4 linked regions of the Saccharomyces cerevisiae S288C genome follow. The gene in region 3 interacts genetically with the main gene of each other region. Each region holds a gene or a part of one and is shown on either strand. Other genes may lie near its edges. The genes, in order: TDH3, SOK2, TYE7 and ENO2.

The links.
Region 1: mutations in TYE7 (region 3) and TDH3 together harm fitness more than expected from each alone (negative genetic interaction), as found in Saccharomyces cerevisiae (2 studies listed by BioGRID).
Region 2: mutations in TYE7 (region 3) and SOK2 together harm fitness more than expected from each alone (negative genetic interaction), as found in Saccharomyces cerevisiae (2 studies listed by BioGRID).
Region 4: mutations in TYE7 (region 3) and ENO2 together harm fitness more than expected from each alone (negative genetic interaction), as found in Saccharomyces cerevisiae (2 studies listed by BioGRID).

The regions. Positions count from the first base shown.
Region 1 is NC_001139.9:882,285-890,262, forward strand, and holds TDH3 (glyceraldehyde-3-phosphate dehydrogenase (phosphorylating) TDH3), read right to left. Parts: upstream 1,527-7,978; coding exon 528-1,526; downstream 1-527. Other genes in the region: PDX1 (Pdx1p), read right to left, coding at 2,225-3,457; XKS1 (xylulokinase), read right to left, coding at 3,789-5,591; exosome non-catalytic core subunit SKI6, read left to right, coding at 6,598-7,338; FYV8 (Fyv8p), read right to left, coding at 7,449-7,978. UniProt on the Saccharomyces cerevisiae protein: Glyceraldehyde-3-phosphate dehydrogenase (GAPDH) involved in glycolysis and gluconeogenesis. Catalyzes the reaction of glyceraldehyde-3-phosphate to 1,3 bis-phosphoglycerate.
Region 2 is NC_001145.3:302,579-311,683, reverse strand, and holds SOK2 (Sok2p), read left to right. Parts: upstream 1-6,090; coding exon 6,091-8,448; downstream 8,449-9,105. Other genes in the region: PEX9 (Pex9p), read right to left, coding at 1-1,476; SPO20 (Spo20p), read right to left, coding at 3,002-4,195. UniProt on the Saccharomyces cerevisiae protein: Plays a general regulatory role in the cyclic AMP-dependent protein kinase-stimulated (PKA) signal transduction pathway by regulating the expression of genes important in growth and development. May inhibit the switch from unicellular to filamentous growth.
Region 3 is NC_001147.6:973,886-981,261, reverse strand, and holds TYE7 (Tye7p), read left to right. Parts: upstream 1-3,192; coding exon 3,193-4,068; downstream 4,069-7,376. UniProt on the Saccharomyces cerevisiae protein: Transcriptional activator of glycolytic gene expression, such as enolase genes (ENO1 and ENO2), glyceraldehyde-3-phosphate dehydrogenase gene (TDH), phosphoglycerate kinase (PGK1), phosphoglycerate mutase (PGM1), pyruvate kinase (PYK1) and triosephosphate isomerase (TPI1) genes.
Region 4 is NC_001140.6:449,618-457,620, forward strand, and holds ENO2 (phosphopyruvate hydratase ENO2), read left to right. Parts: upstream 1-1,709; coding exon 1,710-3,023; downstream 3,024-8,003. Other genes in the region: gamma-tubulin-complex subunit SPC97, read left to right, coding at 1-1,189; YHR173C (uncharacterized protein), read right to left, coding at 1,198-1,536; CTR2 (low-affinity Cu transporter), read left to right, coding at 3,255-3,824; YHR175W-A (uncharacterized protein), read left to right, coding at 3,941-4,090; FMO1 (N,N-dimethylaniline monooxygenase), read left to right, coding at 4,612-5,910; ROF1 (Rof1p), read left to right, coding at 6,974-8,003.

The sequences.
Region 1 (7,978 bases), on a different chromosome or scaffold from region 3:
TCTAATTTTTTCCTTCCCACGTCCGCGGGAATCTGTGTATATTACTGCATCTAGATATATGTTATCTTATCTTGGCGCGTACATTTAATTTTCAACGTATTCTATAAGAAATTGCGGGAGTTTTTTTCATGTAGATGATACTGACTGCACGCAAATATAGGCATGATTTATAGGCATGATTTGATGGCTGTACCGATAGGAACGCTAAGAGTAACTTCAGAATCGTTATCCTGGCGGAAAAAATTCATTTGTAAACTTTAAAAAAAAAAGCCAATATCCCCAAAATTATTAAGAGCGCCTCCATTATTAACTAAAATTTCACTCAGCATCCACAATGTATCAGGTATCTACTACAGATATTACATGTGGCGAAAAAGACAAGAACAATGCAATAGCGCATCAAGAAAAAACACAAAGCTTTCAATCAATGAATCGAAAATGTCATTAAAATAGTATATAAATTGAAACTAAGTCATAAAGCTATAAAAAGAAAATTTATTTAAATGCAAGATTTAAAGTAAATTCACTTAAGCCTTGGCAACGTGTTCAACCAAGTCGACAACTCTGGTAGAGTAACCGTATTCGTTGTCGTACCAGGAGACCAACTTGACGAACTTTGGAGACAATTGGATACCAGCGGAAGCATCGAAGATGGAAGAGTGAGAGTCACCCAAGAAGTCAGAGGAGACAACAGCGTCTTCGGTGTAACCCAAAACACCCTTCAACTTACCTTCAGCGGCAGCCTTAACAACCTTCTTGATTTCATCGTAGGTGGTTTCCTTGTTCAACTTGACAGTCAAGTCAACAACGGAGACATCGACGGTTGGGACTCTGAAAGCCATACCGGTCAACTTACCTTGCAATTCTGGCAAGACCTTACCGACAGCCTTAGCAGCACCGGTGGAGGATGGGATGATGTTACCGGAAGCGGTTCTACCACCTCTCCAGTCCTTGTGGGATGGACCGTCAACAGTCTTTTGAGTAGCAGTCAAAGAGTGGACAGTGGTCATCAAACCTTCTTCAATACCGAAAGCATCGTTGATAACCTTGGCCAATGGAGCCAAACAGTTGGTGGTACAAGAAGCGTTGGAAACAATCTTCAAGTCAGAAGTGTATTTTTCTTCGTTAACACCCATGACGAACATTGGGGCGGTGGAAGATGGAGCAGTGATAACAACCTTCTTGGCACCAGCGTCAATGTGCTTTTGAGCAGTGTCTAATTCCTTGAAAACACCAGTGGAGTCAATGGCGATGTCAACGTTGGAAGAACCCCATGGCAAGTTAGCTGGGTCTCTTTCTTGGTAAGTAGCAATCTTCTTACCATCGACAATGATGTGCTTGTCATCGTGGGAAACTTCACCAGCGTATCTACCGTGAGTGGAGTCGTACTTGAACATGTAAGCAGCGTAGTCGTTGGTGATGAATGGGTCGTTCAAAGCAACAACTTCGACGTTTGGTCTAGACAAAGCAATTCTCATGACCAATCTACCGATTCTACCGAAACCGTTAATAGCAACTCTAACCATTTTGTTTGTTTATGTGTGTTTATTCGAAACTAAGTTCTTGGTGTTTTAAAACTAAAAAAAAGACTAACTATAAAAGTAGAATTTAAGAAGTTTAAGAAATAGATTTACAGAATTACAATCAATACCTACCGTCTTTATATACTTATTAGTCAAGTAGGGGAATAATTTCAGGGAACTGGTTTCAACCTTTTTTTTCAGCTTTTTCCAAATCAGAGAGAGCAGAAGGTAATAGAAGGTGTAAGAAAATGAGATAGATACATGCGTGGGTCAATTGCCTTGTGTCATCATTTACTCCAGGCAGGTTGCATCACTCCATTGAGGTTGTGCCCGTTTTTTGCCTGTTTGTGCCCCTGTTCTCTGTAGTTGCGCTAAGAGAATGGACCTATGAACTGATGGTTGGTGAAGAAAACAATATTTTGGTGCTGGGATTCTTTTTTTTTCTGGATGCCAGCTTAAAAAGCGGGCTCCATTATATTTAGTGGATGCCAGGAATAAACTGTTCACCCAGACACCTACGATGTTATATATTCTGTGTAACCCGCCCCCTATTTTGGGCATGTACGGGTTACAGCAGAATTAAAAGGCTAATTTTTTGACTAAATAAAGTTAGGAAAATCACTACTATTAATTATTTACGTATTCTTTGAAATGGCAGTATTGATAATGATAAACTCGAACTGAAAAAGCGTGTTTTTTATTCAAAATGATTCTAACTCCCTTACGTAATCAAGGAATCTTTTTGCCTTGGCCTCCGCGTCATTAAACTTCTTGTTGTTGACGCTAACATTCAACGCTAGTATATATTCGTTTTTTTCAGGTAAGTTCTTTTCAACGGGTCTTACTGATGAGGCAGTCGCGTCTGAACCTGTTAAGAGGTCAAATATGTCTTCTTGACCGTACGTGTCTTGCATGTTATTAGCTTTGGGAATTTGCATCAAGTCATAGGAAAATTTAAATCTTGGCTCTCTTGGGCTCAAGGTGACAAGGTCCTCGAAAATAGGGTCAAAGTATTTCGAATTTGTGTCCATTAGTGGTGTTCCGTGTGAGAACTGGTAAGCTTCTTTCATGAAAGAGTTCAATGATTCACTCAGTTTGTCAAACGGAATAGAGGCGGGAGCATGGAACACTAATTGCTCTTCAAATTCTACAGGAGTAATCTTTGGCTTGTCGGCAGCTTTTGTTTGAGCTTGCTCGGCTATTTTTGGTTTGAGCTGTATAGGTTTAATGTTCGATAAATCGAGACGTTCGTTCTTCTTGATAAATTCTGTTACCTTGTTAACCGAATCTTGTGGTATTTTCCCTAGGTATGCTAGCACATCACCCTTTAATAGTCTACCGTTGGAACCAGATGGCGCAATTTCCTTCAAAGCCTTTTGTTTGGATATATTGTTCTCAGCCAGTAGTAATGACACGGATGGTAATAGCGTCTGTTCAAGATTGGCTTGGCTGCCGTCAACGGTTTTTATTGGTGTAACTGTGGCTTTTTTTAAATGTTGTTGTGTTGCTTCAGTACTATCTGCGGATGGCTTCTTAATTTCAATAGATTTCGCATTTGCGGTGTTGGCCTCTTGGGGTAACTTTATAGTAGCTAAATCATCATCAACATCAGCAATATAAGCAATAGGTTCACCAACATCAACATCTTTAGAGCCTTCATCTTTCAGGATCTTAGCTAGTTTACCATCGTCCAGTGCTTCCACATCAATTTGAGATTTATCTGTTTCCACTTCTAATATCACATCGCCCGCGCTGAATGGTTCGCCAACTTTATATTTCCAAGACACAATCCCCCCTTTCTCCATAGTAGGAGACATTGCAGGCATTGAAAATGTCTTTACAGCAAGTAATTTAGCTGATGCATGATAGTTGCATTTGGTTAAATATCTTGTACATGATTTTAAAGTGGAGACTTTGGAAATTGCACTTAGCATTTTTGAATTTTTCCCTCGAGATGATTTAACAATAACCTAGCTCTTTCAATGCTCTCTTATATTCTCACTGGAAAGCGCTAATTTGATTTGTCTCTCTCGTTGCTGGTCGCTCACCCTTTCATAAATTGTTTTTTACTCTTCATTTATTGATTTTACTTTTTGTCATTTTCCGAACGGGGAACAAAATGATGACTACTTGCTACAGTATACGAAACATACAAGGGCATTGTCATGTGCACGCATAATAACGGTGATATATATATATGTATGTATATTATGTGTCTGTGTTTGTGTGTACTTGTCAGGGCATGATAAATTATTCAAACATATTTTAGATGAGAGTCTTTTCCAGTTCGCTTAAGGGGACAATCTTGGAATTATAGCGATCCCAATTTTCATTATCCACATCGGATATGCTTTCCATTACATGCCATGGAAAATTGTCATTCAGAAATTTATCAAAAGGAACTGCAATTTTATTAGAGTCATATAACAATGACCACATGGCCTTATAACAACCACCAAGGGCACATGAGTTTGGTGTTTCTAGCCTAAAATTACCCTTTGTAGCACCAATGACTTGAGCAAACTTCTTCACAATAGCATCGTTTTTAGAAGCCCCACCTACAAAAAAAGTCCTTTCTGGCCTTTTATTTAGGTAGTCCCGCAGCGGAGATTCATCGTAATCAAACTTCACGATTGTATCTTCGTTCAGTCTCTGTTGTGAGCTTGCGTTTGAATCCGAAAGCAGGGGAGATATTCTTACCCTGCAACTTAAAGCCTGTGATTCTACAATATTTTTGGCATCGTGCCTCTTGTCTTTGAACTTGGCCACCTCTCTTTCAATCATACCCGTTTTTGGATTGAAGATAACCCTTTTGTTTATGGCTTTTACGCTAGGAACGATCTCCCCCAGAGGAAAATATACACCTAATTCATTTTCACTACTTTCTGAGTCATCTAGCACAGCTTGATTAAAAAGAGTCCAATCGTTAGTCTTCTCATAATTATTTTCCCGTTCTTTGTTTAACTCGTCTCTTATCCTCTCCCTTGCCAAAGAACCATTACAATAACAAATCATACCCATATAATGGTTTGGCAGAGTTGGATGAATGAAAAGATGATAGTTCGGAGAGGGGTGATACTTATCGGTGACCAGAAGAACTGTAGTACTTGTTCCTAGGGAAACGAGAACGTCATTCTTCCGCAGGGGTAAAGAACATATAGTGGCTAAATTATCCCCAGTCATGGGAGAGACCTTGCAGTTTGTATTGAAACCGTACTTCTCAATAAAATATTTACAGATGGTACCCGCTATCAAATTTTTCATGGGTGCTCTCATTAATTTTTGTCTGATAGTTTTATCCTTAGAAGAACTATCAATTAGATGTAGTAGCTCATCACTGAATTTTCTTTCACGTATATCATAAAGGTTCATACCACAGGCATCTGCCTCCTCTAATTCAACAAGATGGCCCACTAAGATAGAAGTCAAAAAATTAGACACTAAAGAAATGGTCTTTGTTTTTTCGTAAGCTTCTGGTTCTAATTGTGCAATTTTCAGAATTTGAGGACCAGTAAATCTAAAATGGGCTCTGGACCCTGTTAATTGAGCCATTTTTTCAGGCCCACCTATGCACTCTTCAAACTCTTGACATTGCTTTGCAGTACTGTGGTCTTGCCAATTGGGGGCGGTTTGCCTTGCAAATGCTACAGAGCTCACGTAGTGCAATAAATCTTTTTCCGGTTTCTTATTCAATTGCTCTAACAGAGATTCGGCTTGGGAGGACCAGTAGACAGACCCGTGCTGCTGGCAGGACCCTGAGACGGCCATAACTTTGTTCAATGGAAATTTAGCCTCGCGATATTTCGAGAGAACCAGATCTAGAGCCTCTAACCACATGGCTACGGGACATTCGATAGTGTCGCCGTGTATATAGACACCCTTCTTTGTGTGATAATGCGGAAGATCCTTTTCAAATTCCACTGTTTCTGAATGGACAATTTTTAGGTCCTGGTTAATGGCGAGACATTTCAGTTGTTGGGTCGAAAGATCAAACCCAAGATAGTATGAGTCTAAAGACATTGTGTTGGAAACCTCTCTTGTCTGTCTCTGAATTACTGAACACAACATTAAAGTACTAATCTCATCCTCCTTTTGTTTTTCTCGAGAGGGCCCCCTTATTCGTCCGCCTGAGATTGCATTGGCCGAATTGAAAAGTGACAGTTATGCACCTCAGCGGCTATTCCCTGCGTCGCTTGCTGAAGATTGAGGATTATAGGAAGTAGTAAGCTGGAAATGGTAATTTGTAAAAAGAAAATTTCTAATACTGTGACAATGTTATTAAATCGGGGTTGTTTTTGTTTGGGGCGGCCAGCGGAATAATTTGTTTTCAAGGACAGCAGAAGCTCAGAAGAACAAAATCTCCGTGATCTTTTAAACTTTTTTCCATTCTGATGGAATAATGGTCTTGATCCCCTAAATATTTCCTTTTTTATTGCAATTATGATAGAAATTAATAGTAGTCTATGCTGGATGATATATATATCTCTTTTGAGCTTGCTTCAAATTTTTTCCCGTTATAATGATGAGTGTTTTGCTTATTAAGGGTCTAGGACATTTCTATCAGTTTCTATACCAAAAGAAGAAAAAGTGGAGAATTGTTTGTTTATTTTAATATTTTGTTCTTTAGTTTTAAAAATTCAGAAGAGAAAAAAATTTTATTTGTCACAAGGAAATAAAACATAAACAAAAAAGAAAAATTAAGATTTGCAATTCTGCCGCTTAAGCAAAAGTAGATCATTCACTGGAATATATATATATAAACGCATTTATAATCTTGTAACGTGCACTCAATTTAGCTACGAAAGCCAACCAGCAAGGAACCTTTTATTTGAGTAGGTACATTTACATCTTCGGGTAACGCGGTGAAATTGAAAAATTTTAAGGCATTAATAATTGAAAAGCTAGAAGAAATGGATGAATGAATGACATTGCGAACCATTGTGCAATGAACATCATCCAAAAGAAAACATCATTTACACATATTTTCTTTCCAGGGTCCCACTGGTAAAATCTATTAACATATAAAAAGATTTACAAAAAAACTTTAGTGCCATAACTACAGCAGGATCATCATATGTCAAGACTAGAAATATACTCGCCAGAAGGGCTACGTCTCGATGGACGTCGATGGAATGAACTCCGCCGTTTTGAAAGTTCCATCAACACACATCCGCACGCTGCAGACGGTTCATCCTACATGGAACAAGGTAACAACAAAATTATCACTCTTGTTAAAGGTCCAAAAGAGCCAAGATTGAAATCTCAAATGGATACCTCAAAGGCTTTATTGAACGTATCGGTAAACATTACAAAATTCTCCAAATTCGAAAGAAGTAAATCAAGCCACAAGAATGAAAGGCGTGTTCTTGAGATACAAACCTCCCTGGTGAGGATGTTTGAGAAGAATGTCATGCTGAATATCTACCCCAGAACAGTTATCGATATCGAGATCCATGTCCTTGAGCAAGATGGCGGTATTATGGGATCTTTAATCAACGGTATTACCCTCGCTTTAATAGATGCCGGTATATCAATGTTCGATTACATAAGTGGTATATCCGTCGGGCTGTACGATACTACCCCATTATTAGATACCAATTCATTAGAAGAAAATGCTATGAGTACAGTGACACTAGGTGTGGTAGGGAAGTCAGAAAAACTTTCTCTTTTATTGGTGGAAGACAAAATTCCGTTAGATAGGTTAGAGAACGTTCTTGCCATCGGCATCGCAGGTGCTCATAGGGTAAGAGATTTGATGGATGAAGAACTGAGGAAACATGCTCAGAAAAGAGTCAGTAACGCCTCTGCTAGGTAGAATAAAAAACGCCATTAATTGCCACTGTTTATATAAAAGTACATAAAAAACAGTAAAATTGAAAATTGAACGCATTTACATTTTCGTGTTTCTACCGTAAAGCAAAACGCTTACAGTTTTTTCTTACCTATTGATGCGAATAAATCCTTTGGTTTCATAGAATGCTGGAAAACTTTTCTCCTTAAGTGCGTTACATTTTGGTTGACACTAGCAACCGTGTTAATGACAGTATGCTTCTTACTCAAATCGTCCGCGTTCGCATATGCTTCCCTAACGTGACTATGCTGCTTATACTCCTCAGCTATGAAATCCTTATCCTTATTAGAGGATGATTTTAGCGTATAATTTATCCATGTTTGTATCCCCGTATCATATTCATCTAGCTCACGCTTATAATTTCTCAACTGTTCTATCTTACCGGCGTGCGAAGTCTTACTGTTCAGTAGTTTATTCATATCTAATTTCGGTAAGTTATTCTGCTGCCCCAATTTCGCCATTTCTTCAGTACTGGGTTCATGGACGCTTGTCATTTCGCCTTGAGATACTGTTCTGTTTTCACTTTTGAAAGATGCACTGCGCGCTGCCAAATCATTGGCAGTATTGTTACTATTATCATTATCTGTTGTACTATTATCGTTTC
Region 2 (9,105 bases), on a different chromosome or scaffold from region 3:
TAGATCAAGTGAATCAAAATTTTTTGAAGCGATGAGAGCATTTTTTAAATTTTGCATAAATTTGTTTTGCATTTTTGCTTTGTTGTGTTCATATCCTTTACTTCGTAACAGTATAACTTCGATTAGCATTTTGCTTGCTTTTACATAGTCACCCTTATTCATGTAGGCGATCGCTAAATTATAACGAACCCTTGTAAAATTCGGTCTTAGTTGTTTGCATTTATTGTACGCATTTATCGCAGAGTGATACGACTTAGTATTGGCCAAAATAGCACCATATCTATTCCATATTGTTCCATTATTGGGCTTTTCCAGTAGTAAAAACTCTAAGCATTTCTGAGATTGCTTTATTTTCTGATCCGAATAATATAAGATTGATAATACTGAATATATATCATACTGATCTTTTTTTTCTATACCCATATTCAACAGGGATTCTAGAATATGCGCCAAATGGGCCTTTTTCGGAATTTTATTAATGCTATCTTTGTTTTCCCCCGCAGAAGGTTGGAAAACCTTCGAAAATTTTGAAAGAATCCATTTGTGAAAAAGTTTCAATGACTCTGATTCATTTTGTTGATTTATATGGTGAATTGCTAAGTTTTCCAATGCAATTGTATTATTTGGATCCAAATTTAAGCAATTTCGCAAAGCAAGCTCTCCATTGCTTTCGCTTTCATTTTCAAAATTAACTATACCTAACTTCAACCATGCATTTATATGGCTTGGATCTTGTGAAATGGCTGCTTCAAAGGCCATTACTACTTCGTTCAAATTGGAACCGTTGTCCATTAGTACACATCCTATTTTATATGGGTCCCGTTCCGTTATGTAGATGTTTGATTTTAGGAATTGATATGTTTGTGGTACGGATGACAGCATATGCATGAAATCAATTGTTTCTTCGTATTCTGCCACATATTCATAACCAACAGTTTTTTCTTCTACATTGTTTTCTATCTTTAGCTCATTTAGTAACTGATTTTCGATTGATTTGAACTGAAATTCCCAGCCATTAGAAACAGATGAGTGTTCATTGTAAGATATTCGACAAGGATATATACGATTTTGCTGATATGCCGTACTATAATATTGTGCAAAGTACCTATTGTGCAAATTAGCGGAGCGTTTCTCATGTTTGTTTCTACTGGGCTTGGTCACATCAGCATTTTTATTCTTGGGGAAACAAGAGAATTCCTTTGACCACTGGTTCTCAAGTCTTGAAAATTCTTTTTCGCTGACACCACTATGTTGAGATTTATCTGCCGGTAGTGCGGCCCGAAAATCTATCTTACCAATACTGCTGCCGGTTTGACAATTGGTAAAGATGTAATCTATTGTTCTAGCATCTCGCGCGGCGCTATCGTTAGTCTGAAAATCAGAGAATTTACCCAGATTATTCCATTTCAAGCCTAATCCATTGTTGATCTTATGAATTGGGTTGTCACCAGTTATGGAACAAGTAACTTCGTTCATCGTGCTTACAAAAGGTACCCTTTATTCTTAATGATTCTCCACTCAAAAAAAAAGAATAAAATAAAATAAAACGGATAAGAGTACGAAAAAAAGTGATGACCTTTTCTTTATTTATTGCCACTGTTTGGGTGAGAATATTGGGGTAAGAGCGCTTTGCCCCAAGTTTTCTGTACGATTTCAATGCGTATCAATCATCCTCTCCGGCGTTAGTAAGGTACTACCAAGGCCTCTACCGTTCCCAGGAAACTCTTCGGGTTTTGTCTGCGCCGCGCCGCTCTGATTGCTTTTCTTTTGGCGGCTATTTAAGTTCCCAGGTGCACATCAAAACCGGCAGGAAGCAAAGTAAATTAAGTTTGCACTTACAAACCCAAATAAGATCTCAATGTATTGCGTGCGCTCATATTCACATATGCGCAGGAACAATCTTGTCATATCTGAATCAGGCTGACGCATCCATGTCGTGTACATTTCTTGTAGGCTTGAAACTTGAACGGTACGAGAAACAAATTGGAAACGAATAAAAAAGTAAGAGAAGGAGGACATCCTCGTCCAAGTTGCGGTATGTATGCGGCAATGAACTACTCCGAAAAAATGCGGAAAAGAGGCATATTTGACCCAAAGCAGTAAAGAGTTTCGTTATATCAACCGTGGCGGGATAGCATTCGGTGGTCTGACAATTAATAGGATGATCGGGCTAGGGCTGGGCTTGTGGAAAAAAGGATAGTAAAAATTTTCTCTAGTAGCATACGATGTGATGCTTCCAATTTTCAGAACATGTTTGTACAATAACTCTATTATTGATTTTTTTTTTTACTAATATCGTTTGTAGGGTAGAATTATTCTTACTAAATATCCTTTTCAACTTAAACATATACGGACGCTTGAGATACACTCTTGTCTTAATCCGCTCGATCTTGGTAAGGGCGTTGTGACGCTTAATATAAAAGGCAAGCGCAGAATATAATTTTTCCGCAGCATAAGCACCCAATCAAGACAATTCTATAGGAATAGTGTGGCATACGCAGTGATTACCGGAAACCCTTCATAATGTTTTCCTTTTTCCCAACAAGATTGAACTTTGATATCGTTTTGTAACTAAAATCTTTTTTGACAAATGAAATTATATGAATTATAACTTATCAACTTTATGAGAAGCAAGTAGACTTGGTACTGTAAAAAATATAGTCCCACGACAGCGGTATCTATCTTTCTTACCCTCTTTTACTTTTCACAAAATCATGTTGATTTTTCAGTTAACCCAGTTTAAGATCATGAATGGAACGGGAAACAAATACGTAACAACTGGGAAAAACAAACCTGCCGATGTTTGAATGCACTTTATTTATGGGAAAGAGAAAGCTTTGTCTGACAACTCCGAAAGAAAATACAAAGAAGAATTGAGACCTTCAGTACTAATGTCCCCCTCGCTCTTTTTTTTTTCTCTTTCGCAAGAATATCTGCGTATGCCTTTTTAGAAACTATTTATTCAATATATTTATACACGATATTTTGTGTGTATAACAGATCACCATCTTTTCCCGATCACTTTCTCCAATCTATATCGCTTGGCCTGTAAAGCATTATCTGCCTGCTGTACATTGTTCTCGATGTCAAACATTCTAGTGTTTTGTGCTTCAAACTCTCTGCCAAAAGCGTGAGCCATAATTTTCAAGTCACCACTCACCGCTTTTATTTGTTCTAGGTTTCCGTACAAGTCGATTTCCATTTGGTTATCTTCTTCATCGGCTTCAAACTGATACTTCTGGGCATCTCTAAGAATACGCTGTCTTTCCACCCCTTGGCCATACCGTCCATATTCAGAACTTAGATTTATGGCTAAATTTTTGTCAGAATCTTGGGCTCTTTTCATAGTTTCTTGCTGTAAGTGACGATGCTTTAACTTCAAATTGTAGATCTGGTCTCGCTTTTCTCTCTCCCTTTTCTTCCTGAAGGGGTTGGGTGATTTTAATGCAAGCAGGCTTCTATTTTCATGGGCAAGTTCGTCAATCTTTCGGTCGGCTACGTTAGATTGAATTTTAAGCATGTCACAATTGCTCTCGATCTTGGTGAGTTGGTTGCTCTGACAACTTAGTTGTTGAAGAACTCTCTTTCCAGTACATCGAGCCTCTATAGCTTTTTCAAGTGTTCTGCTTGTCGTTTTTACAGATTTTAATTTAGTGCTTCTAATCTCGGACCTGAGTCTATCAACTATTTCATCCTCCTCAGGCTGGACATTCTCTAAGTTATATTGACTTTCAACTTTTCTCCACTGTGGATAGTCATTCTCATTTGCAAAATTTCCCAAATCTCTGTGAATAACGCTATCTGTTTCTCCCAAGTTTTCTTCAGGTATTTGGCACCTGTTGGACTTTGGAAAAACCTCTTCTAACGAAATAGTAGCAAGGCCATCCCTTTCGGGCACCTCATAAGAGACGCATTTATCATCACTAGTCTTAGTGGCGTCATCGAACCGACAGTTTGGGTGAAGTTGTTTGTGGATTTTATTCCTCAAGGATTTAAGCTTCACATGTAGCCTATCACGTCTTCTGCTTCCTGAACAATTGTCCATCCTGAAGGGTGATAAATATTTTGTTTCATGGGATCCTGTAATATTGGAAATAAGTACATAGCGATGATTTTGCAACTTCAGGTTCTTATGGTGCTGATTATGGTGGCGACTGTGATGCGATTTGCTAGCAAGTATTTTTCTGAACCCCATTATATATCTAAAAATGGCTATTCACAAACGGAAAAATCTAAAGTAATAAAAAAATAATAGTGTTAACAGAGAAGGTTTATCAGTAGCTAAAGCGAGCAAATTACTGGTTAACTTATCGTATTTTCCGTACTGTGGTGAATCTTATGCAAAATGAACCTGGCTTTGGCGGGAGTTTTTTTTTATGTGACACAATGGCCTTTTGCCGGTGGTAAATACGCGCTTCAAAAAGGTTGTTACACAGCGGCACATTAGCATGACACAATCTTGATCCTTTACAATTACTACACCGCCAAGTATAAAGCTTTTCCCAACCAACGTGTTTGCCAAGTAATTTTGTGTAGAGTGCGGCTGACTAACAGCCTTAACCGGGTACTCTGTTCCCTGCATTTGCATAAAAACTACAAAGAAAAGAAAGAAGGAAATACTCCGAACCAAAGAGATACAACAAGAATACTTCTCTCATTACATCGGCACCTTCCTGGGGATTAATTCCTTACAAGCGCTGAAAAAATGAAGAGATGATTCCGTACTTCAACAATGGCTTTTAACCTTATTACCCCAAGAGAGTGTCTACAGAATTAAGGCCCATTTAATTTTTACCTTCCTGTTCCTGCATAACAGACACCCCTTACCCGCATCAACAGGAGGGGAGGAAACATTGCCAATATGTCTGCGAATTGTGACAACCAATCCGCATGCACGGTGGGGGGCGGTTGAAAGCGCCTAGACTTCCCTTTTTTGGATTGCTACGTCACCTTCGCAGCGTGCACCAGGTGCATTCACCACACGAAAAGATGCGAAAGCACACCAAGCGCGAAATTCCGGTTTTTGGCTTGTTTGTTTCGGGCTCCGCCTCATCGTCTTAGCAAATCTAGACCTTGTTGAAAAATCGTGCAGGGACTCCGTACCTGCACAAGCAACGCGGCATAATACATGTAGGGATACAGCAAAGATATTGTTTCTGAATGGGCAAAACATTGCTTTCCGCAAACGGCTTTTTCTTCTCTTTCCCACCACCGTGGGTCACCTTTTTCTTGCGCCTCTTATGCCAACACACTCTTCCCGTGATGCGAATGGTAAAGAAGTTAACAAAAAACACAAAAAATTCATATTCCGATTTCTCTGCAAAGAAGCCTGAGCGGGAACTGCATGTCCGCTTGACTTGTCTTCCCTCCGGTTAGCTGTGCCTGCAGGGAAACCGCAGTAGAAGGACTGCGGAAGGATCTTTTCCCGCCGTTGATGTAATCTTTAAAGTTAATTTTTCCCTCACACAGTTTGCATTTTTCCCGCATGTTGTCCGGTTTTTCTTTCTTTTGTTGCTTTTTCTTCCGTGGGCCTGACGGAACATTCCAAGTTGAGTGCGATCTGACTAAGGAACTAGTAGAGGCTACCGCTCAGTAAGTTTAACAGTCGGCTAAGCATCGATCATCTCATTCTTTGCCTTCACTCAGTTCTTCGCAATAGTACAGTGCTGCGCAATAGACGCACGTATCAGTGATGTATTCTTTCTCTTGTCTTCACATAAAAAGTACGTAGATGTGTTGCCCGTTTGTGTTTTATTAACTTATCGAATGTGGCAAGCCGACGATACAAAAGAAAAAAGTTCATCTTTAACACTTCTTTTTGTTAGTTTTTGAAGTTTTTCCCCACTATCTTTTGCATTAGTTGTGTGTGCCTGTGCGTGTGTAAGCCTTCTAGTATAGTTGATAATCCTTTTCCATAGCTTTTTATATTGCAAGCAGAGAGATATCATTTTGTGCTGTTTTCATTAAACATACTTCACAATTGTATAAAAAAAAAAAACCTTTTTGATCTTTGTTTTCAGAAATTGAAAGTGGATTTGTTAAGCACAGTACAAAATCATCCTTATATAACCCTGGTAAGGTCCTTTTGTCATGCCCATCGGTAACCCAATCAATACGAATGATATCAAGTCCAACCGCATGCGCCAGGAATCAAATATGAGTGCCGTGAGCAATAGCGAAAGTACTATTGGCCAGTCCACCCAACAGCAGCAGCAACAACAACAATATCTCGGCCAGAGCGTTCAACCTCTGATGCCCGTATCCTACCAATACGTAGTTCCTGAACAGTGGCCGTACCCGCAATATTATCAGCAGCCGCAATCCCAGTCTCAACAGCAACTGCAATCCCAGCCTCAGATGTATCAAGTTCAAGAATCCTTTCAGAGTAGCGGTTCTGACTCAAATGCTTCCAATCCACCTTCCACGTCTGTAGGTGTTCCTTCCAACGCTACTGCAACTGCGTTACCGAATGGTTCTGCAATCACCACCAAAAAAAGCAATAACAGTACTAATATCAGTAACAATGTACCATACTACTATTATTTTCCCCAAATGCAAGCCCAACAATCAATGGCATATTCGTATCCACAAGCGTATTATTATTATCCTGCAAACGGCGATGGAACCACTAACGGTGCAACACCATCTGTAACCAGTAATCAAGTCCAAAACCCCAATTTGGAAAAAACCTACTCAACCTTTGAACAACAGCAACAACACCAGCAGCAACAACAATTACAAGCTCAAACGTATCCGGCCCAACCACCAAAGATAGGTAATGCATTTTCAAAGTTCAGTAAATCTGGACCACCTTCTGATTCGTCCAGTGGCTCTATGTCTCCCAATTCTAATCGCACTAGTCGCAATAGTAATAGTATCTCGTCCTTAGCTCAGCAGCCTCCAATGTCAAACTATCCACAACCTTCCACCTACCAATACCCCGGTTTTCACAAGACTTCGTCAATTCCAAACTCGCATTCTCCAATTCCTCCAAGATCATTAACAACGCCAACTCAAGGTCCAACCAGCCAAAATGGACCTTTAAGCTACAATCTTCCGCAAGTGGGTTTGCTACCGCCTCAGCAACAACAACAGGTGAGCCCGTTGTATGATGGAAATTCTATAACTCCACCAGTTAAACCCTCTACTGATCAAGAAACTTATTTAACTGCAAATAGGCACGGAGTGTCAGATCAACAGTATGACTCAATGGCTAAAACCATGAATTCTTTCCAAACAACTACCATAAGGCACCCGATGCCCTTAATCGCCACTACCAATGCCACAGGCAGTAACACCAGCGGCACTTCGGCAAGTATAATAAGGCCAAGAGTAACAACAACAATGTGGGAGGATGAAAAAACGCTATGTTATCAGGTAGAAGCTAACGGTATTTCAGTGGTAAGAAGAGCAGATAATGATATGGTTAATGGTACCAAACTTCTGAATGTAACTAAGATGACAAGAGGTAGAAGAGATGGTATTCTAAAAGCGGAAAAAATCAGGCATGTGGTGAAGATTGGTTCCATGCATTTGAAGGGTGTCTGGATACCGTTTGAGCGTGCCCTAGCAATAGCACAAAGAGAAAAAATTGCTGACTATCTTTATCCCTTGTTCATCAGGGATATTCAGAGCGTATTGAAACAAAATAATCCAAGCAATGATAGCAGTAGTAGTAGCAGTAGCACTGGTATTAAATCCATCAGTCCGCGTACCTATTATCAACCTATTAACAACTATCAAAATCCTAATGGTCCTTCAAATATATCTGCTGCTCAGCTGACATACTCCTCAATGAATTTGAACAACAAAATTATACCCAATAATTCTATACCAGCTGTAAGTACAATCGCTGCGGGTGAAAAGCCCTTGAAAAAATGCACAATGCCTAACTCTAACCAACTAGAAGGACATACTATAACTAACCTACAGACCCTTTCGGCAACAATGCCGATGAAACAACAACTGATGGGCAACATAGCTTCACCCTTATCGTATCCACGCAACGCCACAATGAATTCGGCAAGTACATTAGGCATTACACCTGCAGATTCAAAGCCTTTGACACCTTCTCCAACTACAACAAACACAAATCAATCATCTGAATCAAATGTGGGAAGTATCCATACAGGAATCACCCTTCCAAGAGTGGAATCTGAATCGGCATCACATTCCAAATGGTCTAAGGAAGCAGACAGTGGGAATACTGTACCAGATAATCAAACATTAAAGGAGCCACGATCTAGTCAATTACCAATCTCCGCATTGACTTCGACGGATACTGACAAAATAAAAACAAGTACAAGCGATGAAGCAACACAACCGAACGAACCTAGTGAAGCAGAACCTGTCAAGGAGTCAGAGTCATCCAAATCACAAGTTGATGGAGCTGGCGATGTCTCCAACGAAGAAATTGCTGCTGATGATACAAAAAAACAAGAAAAATAGAACAACTATGAATTCCTTGGATAATTATGTTACTTTAATCAAAACCCTACCGCCCACATATATGTACATACGTTATGCATGAGGTGGACTCATGTTATAAATGACATCTATCACGCCTATAAGATAGACACATTGAACACTTCTTTCCTTTGACGTAATCTCTTTACACGTAAAAACTTCGTTATTTCCGCGGCGCGGTTGTGAACGTGGGAGGTTCCCCGGAAAACATCACAAGCAGCTGCTCGTTCGCGCATATGGGCGCCCACACCCCACACCCCTGGATTTTTTAAACGAGAAACTCGTAAAGAGACAGTGTATTTGTTCCGCAATTTCCGGGGCGGGTAATATTTGTTACCATAGTTCTCGAGAAGGTTTCCCTCGTTTAAGTCTGCGAAGTCTCGTACCTTTTATCGCTGCTGACAAAACATAGCCCAAACCTGCGTCTATATGCTGCCGGTGTTTATATCGCTATTGAAGAGAGCTCATGTTTCGGTTTTGAAAAGATTTTTTATCGAATCGGTTGTAAAAGATCGTCCTTATTGTCTTCAGGCAAAGGGACTGATTGGTTTATATACGCAAGCAGGGAATCTTGTTGGAAGAAAAAAATTATATATAAGCTAATTGTCTATTGTTCCAAATATCTTATTCTTACTCATT
Region 3 (7,376 bases):
TAGTTGTATTCAATTGGAATCTGTGAACGCGGCATTAAAAGAATATTTGAGCTTTTTTTGATTGTATTAACCTGAAGCTATCACGGTTTAGACTCATTAAAAGAAAAATATCCGGTTGTATCGGATAACAACACCGCTGTAGTAGCACAGTTTTTTGATCATAGTTTCATTATTTTTTTAAATATGCTTGTATACAGTAATCTAGTTTTGGACGGATTATTCATGTCAGTAAGATTTTACTATCTACTTTAAAATTATCGAAACAGATATCAACTATACATCCACTCATTATTGGCATAGCGAAATAAAATTTATGAATAGGAAGGATATAAAACGAAAATTGAAATCGTTTAGTATTATATGAAACTATTAGTCTTTTCGTTTTCGTCGTCATACTTACATTCTTCTTTTATAAATATTGTTGTGCCTAAGAAACAAAATTAAGTAACTGTCTAAAACGAAGTTGCAAAAAAAGGGGCGAGCTGGGAATTGAACCCAGGGCCTCTCGCATGCTTTGTTCCTCCTGTTTGATCAGGGGGATCGCCCAAAGCGAGAATCATTCCACTAGACCACACGCCCATACAATTTGTGATTTCTCAAAGTTCAAGATGAAGTATTATAATTTTATATTCATTTTCCTCAGTCCCAAAAACGAATGGTTGAAGAGAACTGTTGGAATAAAAATCCACTATCGTCTATCAACTAATAGTTATACTATCAATATATTATCATATACGGTGTTAAGATGATGACACAAGTTATGAGAAGCTGTCATCGAAGTTAGAGGAAGCTGAAGTGCAAGGATTGATAATGTAATAGGATAATGAAACATATAAAACGGAATGAGGAATAATCGTAATATTGGTATATAGAAATATAGATTCCATTATGGGGATTCCTAGACCCTCGAGGAGAACTTCTAGTATATTCTGTATACCTAATATTATAGCCTTTATCAACAATGGAATCCCAACAATTATCTCAACATTCACCCATTTCTCAAGAACATTGTTGAAATGTAGCGCAATAAGTGGTGATTGATACCAACGTTTGCTGCTACGTTAGCAACCTAAACGCTTACACCAAATGTTTAAATTAGTATACTTTTCGAAAATTCGGTGGATATTAGAATAATTTTTAAGATCCTATTGATGATTAAAGCTATAATTGGGTAAAATAAGCATATTCTTGAAGTTCATTACTAAGATATAGAAATCAAGGAAAGGAAACCGATATTTCTACGTAACATTTATTATTTTTCCTTGCATTTTGTGTCGCGTTCTCTTTTATTTCTTTACATTATCAGTCCTTGTATTGCGGCATCCACTAAATCTGATGATTGTTTCTTAATTCCCATGTCATCTTTTTACACAGTATATAATAATATGCTGAATTATACGATATCAAATTTCTTTGGGTGCGATGTAGATGATTCAAATACTCAATAATTATGCATGAAAGAAATCCATTATTCTTGGCAGGAATGCCTCAGGGAATATGGGACCATGACAAGAGGCAACTTAATAGGCATTTACAACCTTTTGATTGAATAATCTAACTATGGGATATAAAGAAGCCTCTAAAAAATTAAATGCCGATAACCTTGATGATTTTCGTATGCTTATTTAATGCGGCTCCCGTCAGCGCCCTGCCGGGTAATATGATTCCCTTTCCAAGTAAGAAGAGCGACAGATAAGCGCGCTTGTATTCATCATACTGCCGCTATGCTGCTTTTCAGTCTGAAAATCGGATGTAATCTGAAAAGCGGATCTGTATTACGATATGATATGGGCAGCCTTTGTGGGTACGATGTCTAGAATTGAAACATTTTTTAATTATATTAATCTTATCGTTTACTTTTTCACATTCTTATCAGTAGGGCGAAACACTAAGAAAAGAGGAACCTCTTTGCGGCTTACGTAAAAAATGCACTAGCCATGTTTGGCACGTTCCCTGCTTGAACTGACATTAGGGGTCGAGCACGAGAGAAAGCCTATTGCCATCACGTGGCAAGCCAGCAATGATCAATTAACAACGCTAAAATCGGCGTATATGCAATGCCAATCCTACGATACTGTTGAAGTAAGGGGGAGGGCGCTAATACGACTCAGACTGACATGCCCTAGTTGTGCTACAAAATTGTCGTTTATGTTACAAACACGTGTAAGATAGTAAAATACCCTTCTTGGACATTCTATTATGCCAAAGCAAAAAAAAATCGGTGAAATAAACCTGTCTCAGTCTGGTTTAGGAAAAGAGACATCACCACACCATGCCAAATGCGGCAACTTCCTTAAACCGCGGTGTCGTAGAACCCATTCATCCTTGTGTATACGCTATGCTGGGCGGTACTTACCGGATCTGGCAGGCACCACATGGGTAGAGAATAAATGACGCACGCATCTGAATGTTACACCCAGAGGTATCCCGGAAAATCTTCCTTTTGAAACCGGAACAAGCTGACCTTGACTTTCACCCGCGGATACTGCTTAGCCCAGTTCCGGCCGTACACAAGCCCTTCTGGAGTGGGATTGAGCTCACTTCATTGCGCTGTTACTCCCCTAACAACGTGGCCTCTCTCCATTCGGTAAGGAATCAAATTTTGTTCTAGAATGTTCATGCTGCTGCGGTCATTTCTTACCCTAGTAGTAATTCATTGTGCCCACGTACGAACCGTACAATGGGATTCTGCCCTGCGCACGTTCACAGTTCGCCAAATAACAATTCTCATTTTCATTTCTTTTTCACAGTGTAGATGATACCGTGTCTGCGACATTTCCATTCTTAGTAGAAATGCAAAACGCAACGTTTGCTATTAATTTTTTTCACCTCTGTTTCCTTTTTTTTTCTCACCTCAACAATCAAATGTACTTATATAAACTTCTTTTGTTATCTCCAAAATTTAAACTTATTTACATCCTTTTTCACTTCATATATCAATTCATGGGAAAGTAAAGCTATCTTAATTACATCCTTATTTTATATTTCCCAACCATCAACCTTTATTCTTTACATATTTCTCTCTTTTCTCATTTTCTTTCTTATTAAGCGTAAAGCACCACAAGCAGTACCGATCTAAAGTCTCTCTACTTTACTATTATTTTTTTTTTTTGTTCACTTCATAAACTTTTAGTGCAAAAATAAAAATAAAGACAAATAACACACTATCAAATCTCTTCAAGTTTAACAATTATGAACTCTATTTTAGACAGAAATGTTAGATCTAGCGAAACTACTTTAATTAAACCTGAATCTGAATTTGATAATTGGTTGTCGGATGAAAATGACGGAGCTAGTCATATCAACGTCAACAAGGACTCCTCGTCAGTTCTTTCTGCATCTTCTTCCACATGGTTCGAACCATTGGAAAACATTATCTCCTCTGCATCCAGCTCCTCGATAGGCTCTCCAATCGAAGACCAGTTTATATCTTCCAACAACGAGGAATCTGCTCTTTTTCCAACAGATCAGTTTTTCAGTAATCCTTCCTCATACTCGCATTCTCCCGAGGTTAGCAGCTCGATAAAAAGAGAAGAGGATGACAATGCCCTTTCGTTGGCAGATTTTGAACCGGCTTCTTTGCAATTAATGCCTAACATGATAAATACTGATAATAATGACGATAGTACCCCACTTAAGAATGAAATCGAGCTAAACGACTCGTTTATAAAAACAAATCTAGATGCTAAGGAAACGAAAAAGAGGGCTCCAAGAAAAAGACTGACCCCCTTCCAAAAGCAAGCTCACAACAAGATTGAAAAACGCTACAGAATAAACATCAACACAAAGATTGCAAGACTGCAGCAGATTATCCCATGGGTAGCAAGTGAACAAACAGCTTTCGAAGTAGGTGATTCTGTAAAAAAACAGGACGAAGACGGCGCAGAAACTGCCGCTACTACTCCTCTTCCATCTGCCGCTGCTACAAGCACGAAGCTAAATAAAAGCATGATCCTAGAAAAAGCTGTTGACTATATTCTATATCTACAAAATAACGAACGACTATACGAAATGGAAGTTCAAAGGTTGAAAAGTGAAATCGACACTTTGAAACAAGACCAAAAATAAAAGCACGCTTGCTTAAACACCAATATTATAAAATTACGATAGAAATTCCTTTCTCCTCTTTTGTTTATGCGACATTTTTTTCTTTCTTAGCGAAGTACTTTAAAAAACAAGCCCAAAAAATAACAAGGCCATAACATAGCAGACAAGAATACAAAAAAAAAAAAGAAGTTGGAAAAAACATACAAAAAGATAAAAAAAAAAAATCCCCACTAAAGAAGGATGATAAATCGTGATGCGCACTTTTCATACCTTTTTCTTTTCTATTTCGTATTATTCAAAAAAAATTCTAATTTTATTCCTCCTTTATACACATTAATGACGCGTGGTTCATAGCCAAGAAAGCACAAGACATGACGAAATTCCGTTTCAGCTACGGACGGATATGTATGCCAAAACCGAAAAAATAAAAAAAAATCAATTTTTTTTATTTCAACAAACACATACACCTTAATGATTTATACGAACGAACTCTTCTCAAACTTTTCTCATTTATTTTATTTTATTATCTTATTACGGCCTTTTCTATTCATTACATTCACAACCCGTTATTATGTCACGCCATAACTAAACTAAGTACGAAACATATATTTACAGCATTATATTCTTAAAGAAGTTTTTTGGGCTTTTTGTATTCCCCCCTCTGATTGACGACAATTTGTTCGAAGCGAGATATTGGGCTGTCATATTAGCAAAAAAATATTGCTCCAGGGGAGGTTCGAACTCTCGACCTTCAGATTATGAGACTGACGCTCTTCCTACTGAGCTACTGAAGCGCACAAAATATCAAACGTGTTGTATTACGGGCTCGAGTAATACCAGATTCCTTGAAGTCTTGATATAAGCAGTTTTCGGAATTTCTAGTATATTCCTTATACATAATATTAAAGCTATCAGCAATGGAATCCCAACAATTATCTCAAATTCAACCAATTCTTACGAGTATGACTGTGTGGAGAATGTGGATTTTGATGTAATTGTTGGGATTCCATTGTGATTAAGGCTATAATATTAGGTATGTAGATATACTAGAAGTTCTCCTCGAGGATTTAGGAATCCATAAAAGGGAATCTGCAATTCTACACAATTCTATAAATATTATTATCATCGTTTTATATGTTAATATTCATTGATCCTATTACATTATCAATCCTTGCGTTTCAGCTTCCACTAATTTAGATGACTATTTCTCATCATTTGCGTCATCTTCTAACACCGTATATGATAATATACTAGTAACGTAAATACTAGTTAGTAGATGATAGTTGATTTTTATTCCAACATACCACCCATAATGTAATAGATCTAATGAATCCATTTGTTTGTTAATAGTTTAAATGTTTTTATCGGAAGAGGTTTTGTCATCACATCAGCAATGTTCTTCTTGGTCTCGATGTAGTATACGTATAAATTATTACCTGATACTTCATCTCTAAGTCTCATTGCCTTTGTGCCAAAAAATCTGTTTCTAAATTTCTCTTCATTTGTAGACTTAATTATACTGATCGTTGATCTACTATCAGTAAGTAAGCCTTTAATAATTGGTTTCTTGTTAAGTTCTTGCACAAGGTGACTGAGGTTATTCAATAGCGGTATAGCTTCACTGACTGCGTGTATTTCTGCTTCTGTAGTTGAAGTGCATGTTAACGAAGCCTTTGTCGACTTTCCTCCAATCACTTTTCCGTTGAGTAGGAAAATGTTACCAATTTGTGACTTGTAATATGGTTGGTTACCATATGAAGCATCGCTTATTGCGACTAGTTTATTATCTGGCTTGGTAGGTTTGTTTTTGTGCCATATTAATTGTTTATCTCTAGTGTCCCACATGAATTGTATTAACTCATATGTCATGTCTAAAACTTGCCTAGAGGGGAATAGTATATGTTGAGCAAGTGTGTTGATGTAGTATAGTAAGTCAAATCTAAATTTATATCCAACATATGAAGCTAGACCAATCAACTTTTGCATTTCATGCACTTTCTCTTTGTATTCATCTTCATCTATTTCTAGTTCATCCTGGTCTATATAATGACCTGGTTGACCTGGAGCTCTAAGTTTCTTTCCTTTTGGGTTCAAAGGTACGTTTAGTTTGGGTAATTTTTCTGTCAAGGATTTTTCCATACCTAATTTCATGTACTTGCTTCTTTGATATTTGATCTCTAATCCAAGTATGTCGTACTGAATTTCGTTATCACCTTCACCCAGATTTATTATCTTTGTATCGTATTGTTTCTTGAGTGTTGTTATGATTTTCTTATTTGCATTTAAGTCTTTGCTGAATAATATCATATCATCAACGAATAAGCAAATTGTTACTTGACTATTCTTAAATACGCATGACCATCCGCGAACTTCTTGCATGTCGCAACAATTTATTAAATATGATTTAATGGTTTCATACCAGTTTGCACCACTTTGTTTCAAACCATAGAGTGATTTTCTCAAACGTAGTAACTTATCATTCAAACCTAAATGTGGTGGAGGTCTTATGTATAATTCTTCTTTGATATCAGCATATAAGTAAGCAGAGGATATGTCCAGCTGTGTGATATAATAGTCATTGTCTAATGCGATTGACAATGACGTCATCAGTGCATAGTGATGTACGGTATTGGATTGCATATCAGAATCATATGTATCGGGGTGTTGAATGTCGCCTCTTGCAACAAATCTAGCTTTGTGTGTACCATCACGTTTCTTGTTAAATATAAACATTGAGTTTATTACTTTTTTAGGATCTATGTCATTTCTATCATAATATTTGTTTGTATCCCAAGTGTTCATTTTCAATAGTTGGCTAATTTCTTTATGATAAGCTTCAACATATCTGTCTTTTTCTTTGTTGTCTTTATTATATGTAATTGCTTCATCATATCTTAAGGTCGTTCGAACTGGTTTGATCGATTTCACTCCTTTTATTGCTGCAATTAAATTTATGCGTTTCTTCGATCTTGGTGGTTCCAGACTTCTCATATTCTTATTATTCCATGTGTCTCGGGATACCTCAATTTCAGTTTCATTATCTTCTAATGATCTTTTCTTACTTTTGGTAGTAGTCAGAACATTAGAATCATCCATACCACCCAAACTGGAATTAGTCTGACGAGAGTGTATGTGTGGGATATCTTTTGAAACATCAGAAGTGTCCGTAGGAGATTTATGGGTTAAGTCAGGAAGTGGGAGGTCGTCAAGAATAGAATCAGCCGTAACATTTTTTGAGGATTTGTCAGGCATTATATTAGGAGTCGCATGGTCAGAAGAGCGATATTCTGGCGGATCCGTATCAATGGAGGGTGTATTATCACATGCAG
Region 4 (8,003 bases), on a different chromosome or scaffold from region 3:
GTATCAATCTGGTCATAATGTTTTAAAGTTTCTAACAAAAAATATGGGTGAGTTGACCAAACACTACAGGAATGATAATAATGCAAACTATGACAAGCTGCTACAAAATTTTGAGTTAGAGAGACAATCCGAAAATCCAAACAACCTGATGAGGCAACTCCTGATGATACAGTTCGATACAGAAACACTTCCACAAGTCTTATCGCACTACCTCCAAATTTATCCAGAAGTACCTGAGAATAACTCAGCAAATGACGACAGCGACCCATTGATGCACGCGAATAATTTCAAGAATATGAATGCCATTCTTTTTGATGAATTAAGCAAAGAACGAACGGGAGCCTACCATGGATCCAATCTAGAACTATATACTCCAAAAAGCGCAATTTATCATTTAAAATTTGACATCAACATACCTTATCCATTGAATATTATTATTAGTAGGACATGCATGATAAAATACCAAATAATCCTGCGCTACCAACTAGTTTTACAATACCACTCAAGGCTTTTGGATGAGACTTGGATGGACTTAAACAAAACACCCAGCTGGAAATACAGAGGCTATTCGCACACTGTGAAGAGGAGGATAGTAAGGGCAACGAGAGTGCTGCATGCTAAGATGAACCACTTCATTAAAACCATCATGGAATATTTCAACCAAAACGTAATTGATAAAGAGGTATACTCATTAGAAAAGTGCTACAGAAATCCTACTCTTGCCGTTGCCATCCAAAATGAGCTAGAAGGTGGATTAACAAATATAATGACAAATCGTTGCTTGTCTGACTTGATTCCACTACAGTTACAAATATTTGACATTGTATATAAGTTTTGCAAGTTCATCAAATCTATGAGAGCAAAATTATGTCAACTGGACCCCGTACTATATGAGAAACACAAAAGCGGGATGATGAAAACACTAAACGAAGGCTATCGTACAAACAATGGCGGTCAGGAAGATGTTGGTTACCAAGAAGATGCCGCCCTGGAATTAATTCAGAAGCTGATTGAATACATTAGCAACGCGTCCAGCATTTTTCGGAAGTGTCTCATAAACTTTACTCAAGAGTTAAGTACTGAAAAATTCGACTTTTATGATAGTTCAAGTGTCGACGCTGCGGGTATAGAAAGGGTTCTTTACTCTATAGTACCTCCTCGCTCAGCATCTGCTTCTTCCCAAAGATGAACGCGGCGTTATGTCACTAACGACGTGCACCAACTTGCGGAAAGTGGAATCCCGTTCCAAAACTGGCATCCACTAATTGATACATCTACACACCGCACGCCTTTTTTCTGAAGCCCACTTTCGTGGACTTTGCCATATGCAAAATTCATGAAGTGTGATACCAAGTCAGCATACACCTCACTAGGGTAGTTTCTTTGGTTGTATTGATCATTTGGTTCATCGTGGTTCATTAATTTTTTTTCTCCATTGCTTTCTGGCTTTGATCTTACTATCATTTGGATTTTTGTCGAAGGTTGTAGAATTGTATGTGACAAGTGGCACCAAGCATATATAAAAAAAAAAAGCATTATCTTCCTACCAGAGTTGATTGTTAAAAACGTATTTATAGCAAACGCAATTGTAATTAATTCTTATTTTGTATCTTTTCTTCCCTTGTCTCAATCTTTTATTTTTATTTTATTTTTCTTTTCTTAGTTTCTTTCATAACACCAAGCAACTAATACTATAACATACAATAATAATGGCTGTCTCTAAAGTTTACGCTAGATCCGTCTACGACTCCCGTGGTAACCCAACCGTCGAAGTCGAATTAACCACCGAAAAGGGTGTTTTCAGATCCATTGTTCCATCTGGTGCCTCCACCGGTGTCCACGAAGCTTTGGAAATGAGAGATGAAGACAAATCCAAGTGGATGGGTAAGGGTGTTATGAACGCTGTCAACAACGTCAACAACGTCATTGCTGCTGCTTTCGTCAAGGCCAACCTAGATGTTAAGGACCAAAAGGCCGTCGATGACTTCTTGTTGTCTTTGGATGGTACCGCCAACAAGTCCAAGTTGGGTGCTAACGCTATCTTGGGTGTCTCCATGGCCGCTGCTAGAGCCGCTGCTGCTGAAAAGAACGTCCCATTGTACCAACATTTGGCTGACTTGTCTAAGTCCAAGACCTCTCCATACGTTTTGCCAGTTCCATTCTTGAACGTTTTGAACGGTGGTTCCCACGCTGGTGGTGCTTTGGCTTTGCAAGAATTCATGATTGCTCCAACTGGTGCTAAGACCTTCGCTGAAGCCATGAGAATTGGTTCCGAAGTTTACCACAACTTGAAGTCTTTGACCAAGAAGAGATACGGTGCTTCTGCCGGTAACGTCGGTGACGAAGGTGGTGTTGCTCCAAACATTCAAACCGCTGAAGAAGCTTTGGACTTGATTGTTGACGCTATCAAGGCTGCTGGTCACGACGGTAAGGTCAAGATCGGTTTGGACTGTGCTTCCTCTGAATTCTTCAAGGACGGTAAGTACGACTTGGACTTCAAGAACCCAGAATCTGACAAATCCAAGTGGTTGACTGGTGTCGAATTAGCTGACATGTACCACTCCTTGATGAAGAGATACCCAATTGTCTCCATCGAAGATCCATTTGCTGAAGATGACTGGGAAGCTTGGTCTCACTTCTTCAAGACCGCTGGTATCCAAATTGTTGCTGATGACTTGACTGTCACCAACCCAGCTAGAATTGCTACCGCCATCGAAAAGAAGGCTGCTGACGCTTTGTTGTTGAAGGTTAACCAAATCGGTACCTTGTCTGAATCCATCAAGGCTGCTCAAGACTCTTTCGCTGCCAACTGGGGTGTTATGGTTTCCCACAGATCTGGTGAAACTGAAGACACTTTCATTGCTGACTTGGTTGTCGGTTTGAGAACTGGTCAAATCAAGACTGGTGCTCCAGCTAGATCCGAAAGATTGGCTAAGTTGAACCAATTGTTGAGAATCGAAGAAGAATTGGGTGACAAGGCTGTCTACGCCGGTGAAAACTTCCACCACGGTGACAAGTTGTAAAGTGCTTTTAACTAAGAATTATTAGTCTTTTCTGCTTATTTTTTCATCATAGTTTAGAACACTTTATATTAACGAATAGTTTATGAATCTATTTAGGTTTAAAAATTGATACAGTTTTATAAGTTACTTTTTCAAAGACTCGTGCTGTCTATTGCATAATGCACTGGAAGGGGAAAAAAAAGGTGCACACGCGTGGCTTTTTCTTGAATTTGCAGTTTGAAAAATAACTACATGGATGATAAGAAAACATGGAGTACAGTCACTTTGAGAACCTTCAATCAGCTGGTAACGTCTTCGTTAATTGGATACTCAAAAAAGATGGATAGCATGAATCACAAGATGGAAGGAAATGCGGGCCACGACCACAGTGATATGCATATGGGAGATGGAGATGATACCTGTTCGATGAATATGCTATTTTCGTGGTCATACAAGAATACGTGTGTCGTCTTTGAATGGTGGCATATCAAGACCCTGCCTGGACTGATTTTAAGTTGTTTAGCAATTTTTGGTCTAGCCTACCTCTATGAGTACTTAAAGTACTGTGTCCATAAGAGACAATTATCCCAGAGAGTATTGTTACCAAATAGATCTCTGACCAAGATCAACCAAGCCGACAAAGTGTCCAATAGTATTCTATATGGTTTGCAAGTGGGATTCTCATTCATGCTCATGCTTGTATTCATGACTTATAATGGTTGGTTAATGTTAGCTGTCGTGTGTGGGGCAATATGGGGTAATTACAGCTGGTGTACTTCGTATAGTCCTGAGATAGATGACAGCTCCCTCGCCTGCCATTAAGATGGTGACAAATATTACAAATTTGATACTATTTGTATCTATTTTGTTTTTATCCGGGATTTTTCGTATTTCTTCCTCATTCATACCCTTCCCTTTATTTGTTCCCACTGAGTATAATGATAAACTACGTTAACATTACATGTATAATATTTAGCACTCGTACGTTACTAGTCTTTGACACAAGTTTATATATCCCCCCCTTTATGTTATCGTTTATTGGCTACAGCCTCAGTAATCAAAATAGTCCACTATTTCTATATCATTAACTTCTGCGTCGCCAAGATGTTAATCATGAAACGATCTAGTTCTTCAACAGTTTGCCAGCGACCATTCGAGCTAATCTTGAACAAAAGTAATACTATTTAAGGGTGGGCGCGGGTTGTTATACCGTTTTGAGACGATCTACTATAACGTTATATTTAATTATATAAGTGATGAATTTAATGTCCCGTCCACAACACGAAATCGCACCTCATTTCAACGCGGCAAGTATTAATGTTCTGCTTTATGAAAGATTCCATGAACCCTTTTCTACCTTTTAAATTCCTCTTTTCACTCTTAATCACATGATATTACCTTTACATAGGAAGCGCCAGACATCTTTTTGCCGAGAAAAGCCATTATGCAAGATAATCCTGTAGCCTCATATCAAGGATAAATGCCACTGCAAAAACGCAGTCGTTATTTGGGACTGTATTTAAATGGGCCACTGTTTTTATACAAGTCGAAAATACAATAATACAGAAAATTCAAGCAGGAAGCGAGAAATAACAAGAAGTAACTAGGCATGACAGTGAATGACAAAAAAAGATTGGCAATCATAGGTGGGGGGCCAGGAGGGTTGGCAGCTGCAAGAGTTTTCTCGCAAAGTCTTCCAAATTTTGAAATAGAAATATTTGTAAAGGATTACGATATTGGCGGTGTCTGGCATTATCCAGAACAAAAAAGTGATGGGAGGGTCATGTATGACCATTTGGAAACCAATATATCAAAGAAGTTAATGCAGTTTAGCGGCTTTCCCTTCGAGGAAAACGTCCCTTTATATCCGTCTCGAAGAAACATTTGGGAATACTTGAAAGCCTATTACAAAACGTTCATTGCCAACAAAGATGCTATCAGCATCCATTTCAGCACCGAAGTTACCTACTTAAAGAAGAAGAACTCTCAATGGGAGATAACATCTAAAGACGAACTAAGGACTACTAAATCGGATTTTGACTTCGTTATTGTTGCGTCTGGTCACTACAGTGTCCCTAAACTACCAACTAATATCGCAGGTCTCGATCTATGGTTCGACAATAAGGGCGCCTTTCATTCTAAGGATTTCAAAAACTGCGAGTTTGCCCGTGAAAAAGTCGTTATTGTGGTGGGAAACGGCAGTTCCGGCCAAGATATTGCCAACCAACTAACTACCGTTGCAAAGAAAGTATATAATAGTATAAAAGAGCCTGCGAGCAATCAACTGAAGGCCAAGTTAATCGAGACTGTCCAAACAATAGACAGTGCCGATTGGAAAAATCGTTCAGTTACTTTATCTGATGGAAGAGTACTTCAGAATATAGACTACATTATTTTCGCCACAGGCTATTATTACAGCTTTCCATTTATAGAGCCCTCCGTTAGACTGGAAGTGCTAGGTGAGGGTGTTACTGGCGACAAGCACTCGTCTGTCAATCTGCACAATTTGTGGGAGCACATGATCTATGTAAAAGATCCTACGCTGTCCTTTATCTTGACCCCGCAGTTGGTCATCCCGTTCCCGTTGTCGGAACTACAGGCGGCTATTATGGTCGAAGTATTCTGTAAAAGCTTACCGATAACTACAACTTTCGACTCTAATGCCTGCGGAACGCACAACTTCCCAAAGGGAAAGGACCTGGAATACTATGCAGAACTACAGGAACTACTGAATAGCATTCCACGTAGGGTCGGTCATTTCGAACCAGTTGTATGGGATGATAGACTGATCGATCTAAGAAACAGTAGTTATACAGACAAAGAAGAAAGAAATGTGCTTCTAGCGGAACACGCACAAGCCCTAAAGAAAAAAAAAGCACCATACTTCCTTCCGGCGCCACATACTTAACGTAAAAAGGAATGTACTTGTATAGAAAAAACACATATTGTGCCGCTTAATATTTCGTTTCCCTCATGTATATACCTTATCGCTGTTAAAATAAGAAATCTTCACTTCTGCTATCTTTTTTTTTCAAACATTGATTAATAATCCGGCCGTCCGCAGATTGCTTACGCAGAATATACCGTACCGCCACCGTAAAATTAACGAATACTTAAATTTCCGCCTCTTCCGTTTCGGCAATAGCGAACCTTAATGTAAGTTTTTAAAAGGCAGCGCCAAAAATTGCTCTGAAAGGCCTGCAGTGCTTCGCGGCTACGCAGTTCCCATGTAAAAAAAAAAGAAAACTTTCTTTTTGAATCTGGAAAATCCGCACAGGCGCGCCAGCATAAACCTCAGTATCCTGCAAAGGCCATCCTTTTAAAGATCTTAACAACGTATGAATCTGAGGCAGAGAGAAATTAAGCGATAAACGTTCCTTTTAGACTTTCACTTTCTTGGCCGTCATTTAAAAAAAAATTATCTAATAATCTCTAATTTTAAGTTGAAATCACGCTAACATATGACTATGACTATTAACCTTTTTATGTGGAAAAAAAAGGAAGAATATGTTGTAAACGTATTTTAGCCTTGTTCCCGGAACTTTAATCACTCTGGCAACTTTTTAAGTAGTCTGTCTTTTTCTCGGTCGTATATTCCTCAAAATTCAAGAGGAAAGAGGAAGTGAAGAAGAAAGCCTAGAAAAAAAAAATAGGCATTAACACAAAAACGCACCTAAGGGACTGAGGAAAATCAAAAAAATGATAATTGCAGTTAGTAAATCTTCATAATCGACGCCCACTTATTCTTTCTTTATAGTACCGGGTAGGCGGGTAATTCATACGTAGCTGCTGCGGGAGAACTACTATGTATCATTCCCTGTTTATTTGTATGAATTATTATTTAATACGTACATTCTTGTAAGCCCTTCTTCAACAAAACAAACAAATAAAGCGAGAAAAAAGGGAACCACGAATTAAGATAATTAATCAAACAATAGATAGGAAAAGGAGATCGACGAGTAAGCGTAAGAATGATGGATATCAGCCCTACCTGTTATGGGTACATCGACGACGAGCAAGATCTAGCCCTTGTTTTCCAGGGCGTATTCAATGGAAATTTGAGATGCATCGAACGGAGGCCATATGATGCAGAAAAGGTTGAATTAGTCAACCCCGGAAACATTTTTGTTTTCAACGAAGAGAAATCCGGCATCAAAAGATGGACAGATGGTTTTTCTTGGTCTCCTTCAAGAATTTCAGGCAAATTTCTCGTATATAGAGAGTATAATAGGCTGGGTTCCACGCACGATCTACCGCTGCATAATGTACCTGAGTATAATATCTTCGAGAGGGCTCATAGGAAGTATTTTTATACTGGACTACTGAAAAAAACATTTTCTCTAAAATTCAATATGGATCCCACCGACAGCACTAAGCTGGAAACATTTCATCTTATTGCGTACTATACGGAAAAGGATATTCATCAAGGAAGTTTGAGGAGACCTTCAGAAAATCCTTTCTTCCATAAATTTCGACCTTCACAGAAACTATTAGATGCTTTACAAAAAGTTGCTGTAGGAAATGGCAGATCTAACCCGTCTAAAAATAATGAGAGAGGCAGAACCAAAGCTCATAATTATAAAACGCGCAGGTCTTTATCATCTTCTCCGAGCTATTGTGATCTCTTGAGCAATTATAACAACCATCCTGGAAATATTCCAGTTAGGACCGCAGTTCAGTTACCTTTAACCACCTTCAATAACGCTCCTCGAGAAATGCACCAACAGCAGCACCGACAACAGCAACAATATCTCTTACCCATAGATGAACAGAATAAATTACCTCTCCCGTATATGCAGCACCAGCCACAACCAATTGGTGTTTACAATCCTAACTATCAGCCTGGATTGAGACGTACGGTCTCACAACCTATGATTTTCTGCAATACATACAATACTCTCCCGCAACAACCTACTGCAGCACCTTATGAACGGCGTGGCGTGTCGCCTTCAGTGATATACTCCTCCAATACATTGAGCCCAATACCATACCAAAATATCG